Linked DNA regions of Arabidopsis thaliana. The protein of the gene in region 2 interacts with the protein of the main gene of each other region in a pairwise test. Each region holds a gene or a part of one and is shown on either strand. Other genes may lie near its edges.

Region 1 (3,891 bases), about 11 Mb from region 2:
TTAATAGAATCGAGTTTTATATATCCTCAATCTTACATGTGGGCTTTACATGTACAGACCAAATTCCAGGCCCAAAAATATATTTATATATTTAGGCCGATATGGGGCCCAATATGCTATCATGTTGATCAAATAAGATAAAACTCTAATATATATGCCAAGTTCAAATTTATATATTCATGTAACATTGGTATGTTATACCAAGACATAAATTAGTTAGCTCACTTAGGAAACATGACTTTTTTTCGAAGATAAAAGGCCGAGTGTTATCGTTGGTTCATGTATATCTTTATTGTTATGAATGTCTGTATAATTTTGAAGTGTTATAAAATTTCACAATGCTCCCATCTTCAAAATAGGGAGGACGATGAGTATCTCTCTCATTTTAAACTCCCAGTGGTAGGTTTTGCGTGTATATTACGCGGATTTGTTACTGAGAGTTTAAAATGGGAAAGACACTTAGGGGGAAAGCGAACTGAATAGTGGGTCGATGGTTGCCTTGCCATGGTTAACACTTAACACTATCCCTTCTTTCGTCAAAGGTCTATTGGTAAGATTACTTATTTTGTTTATGATGTCTATATTGAAATTGTAAACATGACCAAATTTTTTTTGTAAAAGTGAGATGAGTCAAACTCATTGGCAATTTAGTTTAAGAACAAACTTCATCGATTCACTTTATTACGGAACCAAATTCATCATCCTCTATCCCTTTGGAAACAATCCATTAAAACCATCCAAGACAACCCCCAAATCGGTTCAAATACAAATGAGTAATTACCACCAAAATACTTAGAAAAAACTTCCATATTTCAGAACCTTTGAATTTTATCAGCCTTAACCACAGGATTAGCTTTGGCAATCTCTCCACGTCCAACTTCTTTGAAATCAAAGCTGCAATCATGAGTCTCCGGGTACCGATGTTCGCCGCAGAAAGTGCTCCCGCATTTGCACTTAAACCCCATGATCCCAACCTTCTTGTTACAACACAAACACCGGTTGGTTCGTGCAGGTCTCGATGGCTCGTTCGCCTCAGGAACCGCCGAGGAAGATGGCTCGGCCGAGACAACAACAACTGCCGCCTTTTCGGGTTTGGGTTCCACAACAACAGCAGGAGGTTCTGCTATGAAGAGACTACGAGGAGGAGAAGGCTTGAAAGATTTTTCAACAGCAGCTTTAGCAACTGCTGTTTGAGCTTCCTCAGCACAAATGCCTCTGTAACATTTAGAACAGAGATCCATGTTTGATGGTGATCCAAAGAAACCACATCCTTTAACACATAGCTTTGGCTCTGAAGCTTGCGATTGCGTGAAGCTTGTGCTATCGTTTTGTTCCGATCCCATTCTTACTCTCTTGCTTTTCTTCTGTTACACCACATAAATTCAAATTAAAATTTTACCACTGCGATTATTGACAATATACACGACAAGAAGACAATAGATGAGATTAGTCAGACCAAAGATTCCTCAATGTCAGAGGATCTTTTAAGGTTGTCGGGTTTTTGAGGATTAGATCCATAACAAAAGTACAACTATATTATTGACACAGATCGATTTTGTTTTAGCTACGATAACAACAATTTCGTCATCAAATTATGCAATTAAAAAAGTAGATCTGAGTTTCCGAAACACAAATACTAAGATAACACAAGAATCTAATTCAGATCGGACAAGACACAGAATCAACTAAATCAATCAATCAATCAAAAATACACAAGACAAAGGAGATTGGGAATTTTTACCTGTAGAAAACGGAGATCTCTTTCTTCTGGCGATTTTAAAGAGAATTAACAAACAACGATTCACAGTTTGTGTTTGTTTCTGATCTTCGGAAGTAATCTTCGTTAGATGATTTGTTCTTAAATCGATAAGAATTGAGAACGACAAGTCTTTTTCGTTAATCGAGAACAACAAGAGAAAAATTAGAGAAAAACAGAAACACGTAACTATGGAGGAACATACATGTGTATATATTTATATGGTATGAGTCACGCTACGGTTTTCACTTTTTTTAAGTTGTGTTCTTCTACACCTCCTTATTGTACACTTTCGTAATCTTAACCGTGCGATTCTTTTGGCTGACCTAATCTGACGGTTATAATTTATCATCGAGCAGCTAAACGGAATAATAATGGCACTGTTTTGTAAAATTTCCAAAGTTATGAAGTCAGAACTGTACTTTCGTAGCTGACGTGTATATTTCCTTTATTTTTGAATTCTGACTTTCCATTTTTTTATTAATTGACATTTTTTATCCAGTTTGATCCAAAAAAAAATGATGTAGGTTTTTTTTTCCCATAATAGGAGTACAAACTAATAGGTAAAATTAACAAATTTAAATGTATAAATGGCCTTTGGGGTTGTTTAAGTAATGATTAAGATGGTATTATTGGTGGACTTTTGGGGAAGATAAAGATAAGATATGCCTTCTTCATCACGCCCTGGCTTGGTCTAAACACGATTAACGCGTTGTCAAGATTTAAGTGGAACTTGGTATCTTATTTTAATAATTCGAAAATTTTATTATTTTAAACTTATGTACTTACGTTCATTTTTTTTCTTCTTATTAAGATCCTAACCAGAAATAGCTCAACCACCCCACATTTTTGCTTATAGTTTTTAACTTCAAGAGATTCGGATTTAAAAAAAAAAAAAATTGTCGTACTGTCCCACGTAAAGATTCAATTTTGTGTGTGACAGATGTAAGTTATACACAATGATTTTCTTCAACTAACTAGATTGAGTTTGTTGGCATGTTTTACTATATATGGTCTCGATTTAAGATGATATAACAAAACAAGATAATTAGTTCAGATAATGTTAAACGTTCAATATCTGCATTTTGAGTTAAGATAATCTCAATATCTGCATTTTGATGTCTACTTTTATTTATAATTTTAGCCAAACTTGCCACACTGGGAAAAACGTTATCAGTTTTGGCACTTTCTTTCTTCTGTTTTCTTGATCTCATTTATACAAAAATGGAGAAGTTCTTATGATCACGTAACCAAAATTTATAATTTAATTCAAACTCTAGATTCTGGATAAGACTAAATCTGTGTAACTTGGGTTACTGATATAGGTTGAATGCACATGGATCTTCCTCATATAAAGACTATATAATATACTTAAATCGTTGACATAGAATCTCATAGAACTTTTCAAAGGGGAAAAGAATCTTAGTGATCCTCCAATTAATAATTCAATTATACTTTGCTCATATTGATCGGTTTAGCCATCATGGCTTTTCAGAGACTTCAATTTTGGATGACAACTTGTTGATCCGAAAGGCAGCAATGCAGAGAGTGATATTACCAAACACCGTTAGTGCTGCCTGAAGAGCGACCAACACCTGATAATGCAGTCCAACAATTACACCATTAAGTAGGAGTGAAGAAGCAAACGAAACATATCACAGACTTATAGCTAAAAGTTGGAGTCAAGAGTTTCTTGACCTCAAGAGATTCATCGTTGTAGAAGAAATGCCATGTGCATGCACAGAGAGCTCCACCAAGCAAAGGTACCTGATTAAGAACAACCAAAAAGCTCAGAAAAATGAAATCATGTAATCTAGGAAAACGGCTTAGAGCTTTCTCACCATTCCCCATGAGAGACCTTTCCAAGACTCATAACCCTTTCTTTCTCCATACTTCCATACCAATGCCATCGCCGTAATCCTTTAGTAAAAACAACACCAGAATTAGAAAGACATTACATTTTTCTTGTTTGTTAGCTCCAACTGCATTTCAAACCATAATGAGAGAAGCTTAATCTACATTGTGAGTGAAAGATCGAGACTTTATATGTAGATGAAGCTTCTCTCATAATGATATCAAAAACTCGAAAAACCCACAACATCAAATACTCTCTTGTGTCACTATAGATCAAATGT
Region 2 (5,191 bases):
TGGTACGTAATTAAACCGTCTATTAAAAAAAAACATAAGATTGTAATGATTTGTCACTAAATTAATTGTGATTGGTATAGCGACTATTCATCACAGTATGAAAATGATACATACATGTTAGTGTTCGTTACTAATGCCATAGTGGCAACATAAATGACCATCAATAGTATAAGCTCCTTGTCACTGATTAGTGATTACGATAGAAACTTGTTAACAACAATCAGAACAACAATAAATATGTTTGTCGACACCTATTGCCAAATTTGAGTTACGATGAATATGTATTTCTCAATGTGTATAAGATTGGCAATATATATCTTCAGAAGACAAAAGTGCATATTACATGATGTATACATGTAACGTGGATATGATGAAAGAAGTTGTATACTTGTATAGTATCTATCACAGTCAAATAAGCTGGCTTTGAGAGGACACATTCGTCAATCCCTAGAGACGTTGCAGTTTTGTGGGACTTTTACCGATCCATTTTTTAAGGAAAATCATATTATTTTTGATTTTTCATGTAATGTCCAAGTAAAAACTTTTTTAGGTTTTTTAACGGACATAATATTGACTAAGGAAATTCTAAATGTTCCTTACTTCCTTGTACGAATATATTTTTACAAGAAAATCCAACGTAAACGAGACAAAAATTCAAAGCTAGCAACAATTTTAGAAAATTAATAATCCCCAGAAAGAAATGCTCTGTGTCTTTTTTTTTGTCCACGAGGGTATTTAAGTAATTTGAGAGAAACAAAATAAAGAAAGTAACAAGATTCCAGTTTTGCCCTTTTACATACGATGGGCCCCTGAGAATCCCAGATGATCGTAAGCCTTCTGAAACGAGTGATCATGAGATTCGGTATCGTACGCCGACATAGGAAACGCCACTCCACCCGCGTACTCTAGCATATCCCCAGGTCTGACGCTAACGTGTCCCCCATGACCCGTGAGTCCAAGAAAGTCTCTGGTCAAACGGTCAGCTTTCTGCCACGTGGACGTAAACCCATCAACAACTAACTGGTCGTACTCAGACGAAGAAGCTGACGTCATCATGACTCGGTCAACACCAAGAAACTCGTTGACGTTCGTCAAATGTCGGTGATGACCAATGGATCGAGTCTGTCCTCCGCCGCCGAAAGTAGTGGAGCTGAGAGAGGTGGCCTTTTGGAGAAGAGCCGTCGCGGAAAGAGCTGCCGTTGGAGGCGTTGAAAGAGCGGCGGTGGAAAGTGATGGTTCGATGAAAAGAGGTGATGACGTGAAGAGCAAGGAGGAAGATTTATTGAACATAAAATGATGGCCTTGGAAATTAGGGTTAGGGTTTGTGAGATTGGAGGAAGAAGTTGAGTGGAGTCTTGCACTTTCTTCTGCTAATGCATCACAAAACGCTCTATGCGTTATGAAAGTGTCTTTCCTGTTTATAAAATATATATATCACAAACAAACAAAAACAAATATTAGATAGAAACATAAACAATATATGTATGTATGATCAATAATGATGCAATTGTAACATTAAACCAAAAATAAAATGATGCAATTGCAAGTAGTGAAATAGTTTGGAGTGGACCATACAGAGATAATAAAGAAGTTTCAAAATTCAAAGAAAAGCTTTTGAAGCCTATTATGTCATGATGGACCAATGCAATTTTACACACAGCAAATCAAATCATAGATTATCAAAATCTTTTTACAAAAAAAAAAATTACAAAATCAAATCAAGATTCTTTTTCACTATTATGATGATGAAGGAGAAGATTCACCTGCAGGCTTCTTTTTATCTCCTCATTAAATCAACACAAATTTTACATATAATGTTATTAAAAAATCATTTTTTGTTGGACAAGAATTAATTTATATTACACAAATACATACATATTAGCTCTAAAAAAGTGTGAAGTGATTTATGTAAAAAAAAAAAAAATTATATATACACGCAATAATGGCCAACATGTAAATATAATGTCTTAATCCATGAATTTTGCCACTGCATTTAATTGCACTCAAACTATATTCCATGGACAGTCACAAGCAGATTTGTCAAAGAACATAACCAAAAGAAGACAATTGAAATCAGTCACACGAAAGCATTAAATTCATCTATATATATCAAACTACTCCAAGAAAAACTATTGACTCCTATCTCTATAGAGATAGACAATAATTTAGATTTGTCACAGAAACATCAGTAAAATTTTCAAGAAAGACAAGGAACAAAGAAAGAACTTGACATAAAGAACAAAAAAATGAAAAATTAAAAAAGGGTTACCTCGAGAAAAGAGTGCCGCAGTCACATCTATAATCTCTAGTACCACAGATCTTGGTATGAGCTTTCCAATCAGATTGAACAGCATAGAACTTTGAACACTTTTCACATTTCCATTTCTTCTCTCCATGTTTCCTGCAAAAGTGTTTCTTGATCCCTGTGAGATCCCCAAGAGCTCTAGATGGATGGTGATGAGCACAGTTTGTCTCTGGGCACACGTAGACTTTCTTCTTTTGTTGTTCTTTGGTGTTCTTCTGTTTCAGCTTCCATGGAAGATTGTGGCCTCTCCTGTGAAGCTGTAGATTCTGATCTCTTTGAAACCCTTTGTTGCATATCTCACAAACGAATCTGTTTGTTGCAAGAAGTGTCTTTGGTGATAATGCGATCACTTCTGCATCTGGATCTGCCACATAATAAACCAGTTTCACATGAAAAATAAAGTCTCAAACACATAGTCTTGGTAAAAAGATGATATTCACACAAACCCTAATATTAAAAAAAGGAAGACTTTTTTGCAAAACCCCATAAGAAAAAGTTTAGGTTCCAAGATTCTACCAGGAATCAAAGACAGTATCCTGATTCATTTGGTTTTTCAAGATTCCAAATGAAAAAAAAAAAAAAAAAGTACTATTTTCTTACCAGGATTTCCAGGAAGGCCTCTCTTTTTCTTAGGCTTGTGAGTCTCTGTGTGTGTACAAACACTAGAAATCACATTGTGAAAGCCACTGAATTCTTGGATGGTACTGAGTGTGTTGTTACCAGAAGAGGCACTTGCTTCAGTAGACAAAGAGCTTAGCTTATAGGACAAGGAATGAGAAGAAAACATATCCATGGCTAGCTATATGGTTATAGCTATATGAAGAAGGAAACTCCAACAAAAGAAAAAACAAAAACAAAACTTGGAAGAAAACTATAAAAAGATCCAAACTTTGGTTTCTTCTGATCTCTTAAAATAAGGAACTGCAAGTACCTAGAGAGTAAGAAGTAAGTGTACACAGAAAGACATCATTCTTTGGCTATATATGCAAAATTAAATAATTTAGTTACTTGAGTAGTGTATATAATGCACATGTATATGTATAGTCTCAAAAGCAAGAAGACGACCATGATGGATTATTCTCCAATGTCACTATCATGTACACATATATGTGTGTGCTTACAATAAATGCAAAGACTGTTTGATTCCCATTTTTATTAGTTTTTCTATGTGCAGATAAATACCACAGAGGAAAGAGATTGTGCTTGAAAGTGAGACTTTGACTTTGTTTTCATATATCTTTAACTGTTTTTTATTTTTTATTCCTCAGTTTTATTCTTTATTTTATGTAATTTTTTAAGTGTTCTGCATTACAGAGAAGAGTGATGATTACAGGTTCAGACTATAAGCATTTACTTGAAATTGTCTACTAAAAAAGAAGAGTAGACCCAGAAAGAAAAAAAGCAAGCTATCAATTTGTGCAATTAATGGAAAATATTGTGAGATGAGACTTATCAGGCCTAATTTCCTTAAATGGAAGTAATAATCACTTTTATATCAAGAAAAGTGTGCCTCTTTTCAATTTATTGGGGTTTGAATAATGGAAACTTTTTTTGTTTTGTTTAAGTTTGTAAAGAGAATCTAAACACACAATTACTTAGCCAAAATAAACGTTGTTCTTATAATAGAAGAACTAAATTTAGTAATACAACCATTGAGGAATATCTAATAGGAAACTATCTACTGGAAAATTAAGTATCCAAGATGAAATTGTTTGACTTATTGCCAAGAGTATAAGTATACTTGTTCAATTGTGCTATTTTCTATTTGTATTTCCTTATTACTTTAGCTAGGGATTCTAGTTCGATTTTATTTCATGTAGAAAAAGCTATAACTTTCTTCTGAATTTGTCTTTAAATATTATTATATTTTACTTGTGTGTTATTATGAATTTGAGTGATGTTACTTTCTCTACCAAGGCTGCTAAAGCTTTATCTTTTTTTTTCCTTATAGTTTCTCTCATTCCCATAATATACCCAAAATTCTTAAAAAGGCACACTGATTTGAATGAAACTTATCATAAGCTATAAAATAAATTAAAACAACGTAAGGAAATAGAAACTCATTGTAAAAAGGGAACATCATACAAAGATTCTAACAAAAAAAAAACAAATTTAGGTTTAAAGCTATTTCGCCCTAAAGACGAATTAAACAACTTTATTGTCTATTTCTCTAATTTAAATTTAAATTCTGATTATACAACATCCTTACATGCCTCCTAACTTAAGTTTGAATCACTCACAAAGATAAAAGAGAGTTGTATTTGTAGGGGAGAAAAATACATACACTCAAAGCAACCAATGCCCTAAAAGCATTTTGGCTTTGAATATCAAAATGGAATATATCACTTTGTTGAATTTTGTTTCGTCTTCATATGATTTACTCTTGTGGATGACTTTGTGGCTTTGTGCTATCTTCCTCTTCCTTTTTTTCCAACCTTTATAAGTTTTTGATTAATATTCTTAATATATCCCTTTGAAAATTGTTCATGTCCAAAAAGAAAATACTTACCCCACCAACAAGAATTTTTCGCACTCTTTCATCCGTTCTTTAACTTTTTATCTGTTGAAATTTTTCTATAGAAAAATATTCCAATGAAGAACATTTTGTTAAGTCGATTTTGTCCTTAGACGTGTCTTGTACCATTTGATTCATTGGGATAGGCGTGTCTACTGTAGTAAAATTCAGTTTATGATGGAATCCCTTTAGGCCAAAACAAAACAAAACGTGTGACCATTATGAGACACGAGCGTAACTAAAACCCATGCAACACCGAATATTCTTCTTTTAAAATTTTCATAAAGGCTTTTTTGAATTGTGAAATATTCTGAAAATATATATGCTATACGAAGGAAATAAACACATGAATATTCGAATTCTTGTAACAA
Region 3 (3,802 bases), on a different chromosome or scaffold from region 2:
TCGATAGTAATACGAGACGGTATACCAAGAGTGAAATCCATTATATATTTTTTATTTCACTGGAAGGGATTAGATTGTAGGATGGATTTGGATCAATAGTAATACGAGAAAAATCAAACATTGTATTTATACACTAAAAATATATATAGATATAAGAGTTGTACATTTAAAAAATACAAAACATTAAATCATATTTTATTAAACAAATTAAACTTTTATTTTTTTTTTAAAAATAGTCCTGCGGTATATCGCGGGTTAAAAAAAAATCGAATTTTACATAATACAGTTTATCATGCTTTTATTAGATACACTATACATTTTAACCGTAATCCTAACTAAAATTCTAAAAAAAATACATATTATAACCGTTAACTCAAATACATAATCTATTATTCAACTATACGAATTTTACTTAATATATAAATTTTATTTAGAAAAAATAAATCTGCGGTATACCGCGGGTCAAAATCTAGTTTTGTATACATAACTTTAACTTTAGTAACCAAAAAAGTGAAATTTTTGAAAAGCAATTATTGCGTGTGAATATGAACATCTTTTTTTGGGTTTGGTGTTGACGATTATGAATATATGCAATCTATGCATTAGAATCTAAATCGCACAAATACAATATTTTAATTAGCCTACGCATTTAATGATTACAGTTTTAATAATTGCACCGCCGCATAATTTACATTTAACATTTACATCGTCACTAAAAGTGAAAAAAATTTAGTAGAATTTAGTTAGACATTATCATAAACAGAGGATTTTAATTTTTAACATTATTATTTTAACACTCATCGTAGTCTGAGAGTCGAACACTCGAGAAGGAGGACGATCTCCGACCACCACCACTACCACCGGAGAACAAAGCAACCCAAATCTCTGAAAACGCTCTTACAATCGCGCGGTGGTGGCGTTTCGCGTTTAGCGATAGGAAGCAACTAAGAAGCTGTTCAAGCTCAGCTACTTCAAACATCTTCTTCTCTACTATCATCTCCATCATTGATCCTTTAAAATCTTCGTATGGATCCTCCGATTTCTTCACCACCGCCACTCCTTCCACCATAACCGCCGCCGCCATCGTACACGGCATTAATCTCTGCACAAACGAAGACAGTCTCGCCGGAGACGGTGGCGGTGATGATGATTCACTTTCTTCCTCGATCACCGCCTTCTTGAGAAGTTGTCTCGGACGTCTTGTGACACGCGGTAGCTCGGAAGAGGAATATTCCGGCGAGAGGTTTGTAGAAGATGGTAAGAGACTCTCTCTATCAGTCTCTTCTTCGGCGGAGGAAATGCTCCCTCGCCGCCGAGAGTTTGATTTCTCCTTCTTCTTTAAACGCCGGCGATTATCTTTCTCCGACCCACCGTTGTATATTTTCCGACGAGGCGTTTCGTATTCTTCTTCAGTGACTTGAGCAATCACGTGCCACTTCCCTTCACTTTCCCACTGAAACGTCGGCGTTTGCGGCGGAGATAACACCGGTGAGTTTCTCAGATCAACATCCAACGGCGTGGACGAGCGTCCGCAGCCAAACACAGTTAAAACGTGTAGTCTGAAAGAAGAACGGCGACGTTGCGGCACGGTGGTGACGTCGGCGGAGGAGTTAACCAGTGGAGAAGTACGTCGGAGACTTGAAGAAACAGGATTAAAAGGAAGAGAAGAAGGATCTTTTAAACGGCAAGATTTGAATGAGAGGATTCTTGAAATCTTTAATTTGAAACGTTTCGTCATTTTTTTTTCTTTTCTTGTTTTTTGTGTTTTGTTGGAGAAGTGAAGAAAGTATGGAGCATTTACCAAATGAGAACTGTTTGTGTCTCTTCTGCTTCTATATATATGCAAACACTTTTATATTGGAGTATATAAAATTGTATAATATTTCTCTGCTTTAGTATGCTTTATACCGACATTACATTTACTAATTATCTTTTTTTTGTTGACAGCTGCAATATAAGTTATTTATACGAATCCCTACTTTTTTTTGCCCATACTAAAACCTTACCTTAGTTAAATGATCAAATGAACCGTGAATGTCATTAGACGGGTCAGAATGTGTGTGATATGTATATACTTTGCGTTTTCAAAAGCAACCCAAATTAGTTAAGTGGACGTCTAAGGCTTGATTTGCAGAGATGTTGGCAATAGCAATGGTGAAGGAAAAGTTGCACATCATCGTTCTTCTGAAGTGGTGGTAGTCGAGAAAACGTATTTATATGTAGGATTTCATATATATACGTTTTCTCGATTACTTCTTCAGTAGAATGATGATACTGTATCGATCATAAACAAGATACCGAATTGTGATATAACCATTTTGACTTGAGAGTTTATTAAATATCGATCTTAGTTAATAGGAATAAGATAGTTTGTACCAAAAAAAAACTAAAGACATAACCATGTGTGGGCATATACAAGTCAAACACCTATGAAATTGAAAGGTTGAGAAATTAAACGGCTAAATTAAAATACAAAACAACAACATTCTGTCTAAATTGTTTTATATTTTTTACCACAAAATACATTTCTTTTTTAGAACTTTTTTTTTTGTCTTTATTCCTAAATACTTTCTTGCTTTCTATATATTTAGATCAATTTTTTTTGTTAATACATATTTTCAAAAATCGAAAAGATATTTTGGAAAAAAATTCACAATTTTGATTACATATCGTAGTATCGCACAGAATCATGTTTAGCCTAGTCTTGTAATAAATTACATGTAATTAAAATAATTTTTGTAACGTCATCACATGTATGATGTCAATGTTGATACCTATTTTTTTATACTGTATATACTTATGACTTAAATTGACAAGCTAATCCTAAGAAAATTATACAAACCCTAACCCCTAGGCATCAAAGATTGATGTAACTCGAGTTTGACCGATACAAAAGTTCTACTTAGCTCGAATTAGCTTGCATTTGGATCTAGCAACCAACAAGCATAATAAGACTAGTCCAAAAAGAACTCACAGTTCTTGTTAGCTTGCATTTGAAGCTAGCAACCAACAAGCAAAAGAGTAGTCCAAAATCTTGTAAGACATTTAGCAAAGTCCAGAATAGTCAACTTACCTTAAAAGAAAGAATATGCGATAATCCATTGTCTTATCAGGTTTTTGAAAGTAGTAACTATTTTCCTACCATCCCAATCACATGTATTGAGAAAATGTATACTCTTAGTCTTACTATAATATTTTAACTTAACTACTATCAAACAAATTTTTAAAGTTACCGCGCGAAAAACCTAATAATTTTAAAAAGGCATTTTACGTGAAGAACATATCACTTCGACAAACACTTGTCAGCTGAATTAACTAACATTTGTTAATATTGACTCGTAATTATACACTTCGTCAAAAGTTTACCTAAATTATTTGAGTTTTTTTTGTGTTGGGTATTAATTAGCACTGCTCTTTTATGAGATTGAAAGATACGGTTTCAAAACTTTCGGGATTTAAAAAAGCCAATTTTGCAATAATAAATTATATATTATATTTAAAAGAAGGTGAAAAGTTGTATGATAAGACAAAAAAGATCCATTTTTGAAGAATGAAGAAGCGAAGTAGGGAACGACCAAAGGATCCAAGGAGACAATATAATCTGATTCATGCCCCAAAGTCATCTTTCTCCATCTCTTTCCCATATATTTATATTTTTCAACTTTATTTATTTTCTTCCTTTTTGGAAAATTACAATATGATTACATTTCTACTTGTGTCGTTTAATCATTAAAAATATATAATGTAGATGCTCCTTTACTAGTTAAAGAGTCTAGAGTTAAAATGTCAATTCAATCGATTC

Evidence for each region.
Region 1: the proteins of IDD12 (region 2) and AT4G22820 interact in a two-hybrid assay, tested with the Arabidopsis thaliana proteins (one large-scale study listed by BioGRID).
Region 3: the proteins of IDD12 (region 2) and OFP7 interact in a two-hybrid assay, tested with the Arabidopsis thaliana proteins (one large-scale study listed by BioGRID).

Annotation. Positions count from the first base shown.
Region 1 is NC_003075.7:11,987,059-11,990,949, forward strand, and holds AT4G22820 (A20/AN1-like zinc finger family protein), read right to left. Parts: upstream 2,030-3,891; 5' UTR 1,742-2,029; exon of another isoform or gene 1,365-1,741; 5' UTR 1,344-1,364; coding exon 813-1,343; 3' UTR 591-812; downstream 1-590. Other genes in the region: AT4G22830 (YCF49-like protein), read right to left, coding at 3,238-3,351, 3,455-3,523, 3,598-3,676. UniProt on the Arabidopsis thaliana protein: May be involved in environmental stress response.
Region 2 is NC_003075.7:1,175,398-1,180,588, forward strand, and holds IDD12 (indeterminate(ID)-domain 12), read right to left. Parts: upstream 3,228-5,191; 5' UTR 3,099-3,227; coding exon 2,906-3,098; intron 2,670-2,905; coding exon 2,270-2,669; intron 1,415-2,269; coding exon 793-1,414; 3' UTR 603-792; downstream 1-602. UniProt on the Arabidopsis thaliana protein: Probable transcription factor.
Region 3 is NC_003071.7:8,025,038-8,028,839, reverse strand, and holds OFP7 (ovate family protein 7), read right to left. Parts: upstream 1,884-3,802; 5' UTR 1,739-1,883; coding exon 791-1,738; 3' UTR 567-790; downstream 1-566. UniProt on the Arabidopsis thaliana protein: Transcriptional repressor that regulates multiple aspects of plant growth and development through the regulation of BEL1-LIKE (BLH) and KNOX TALE (KNAT) homeodomain transcription factors.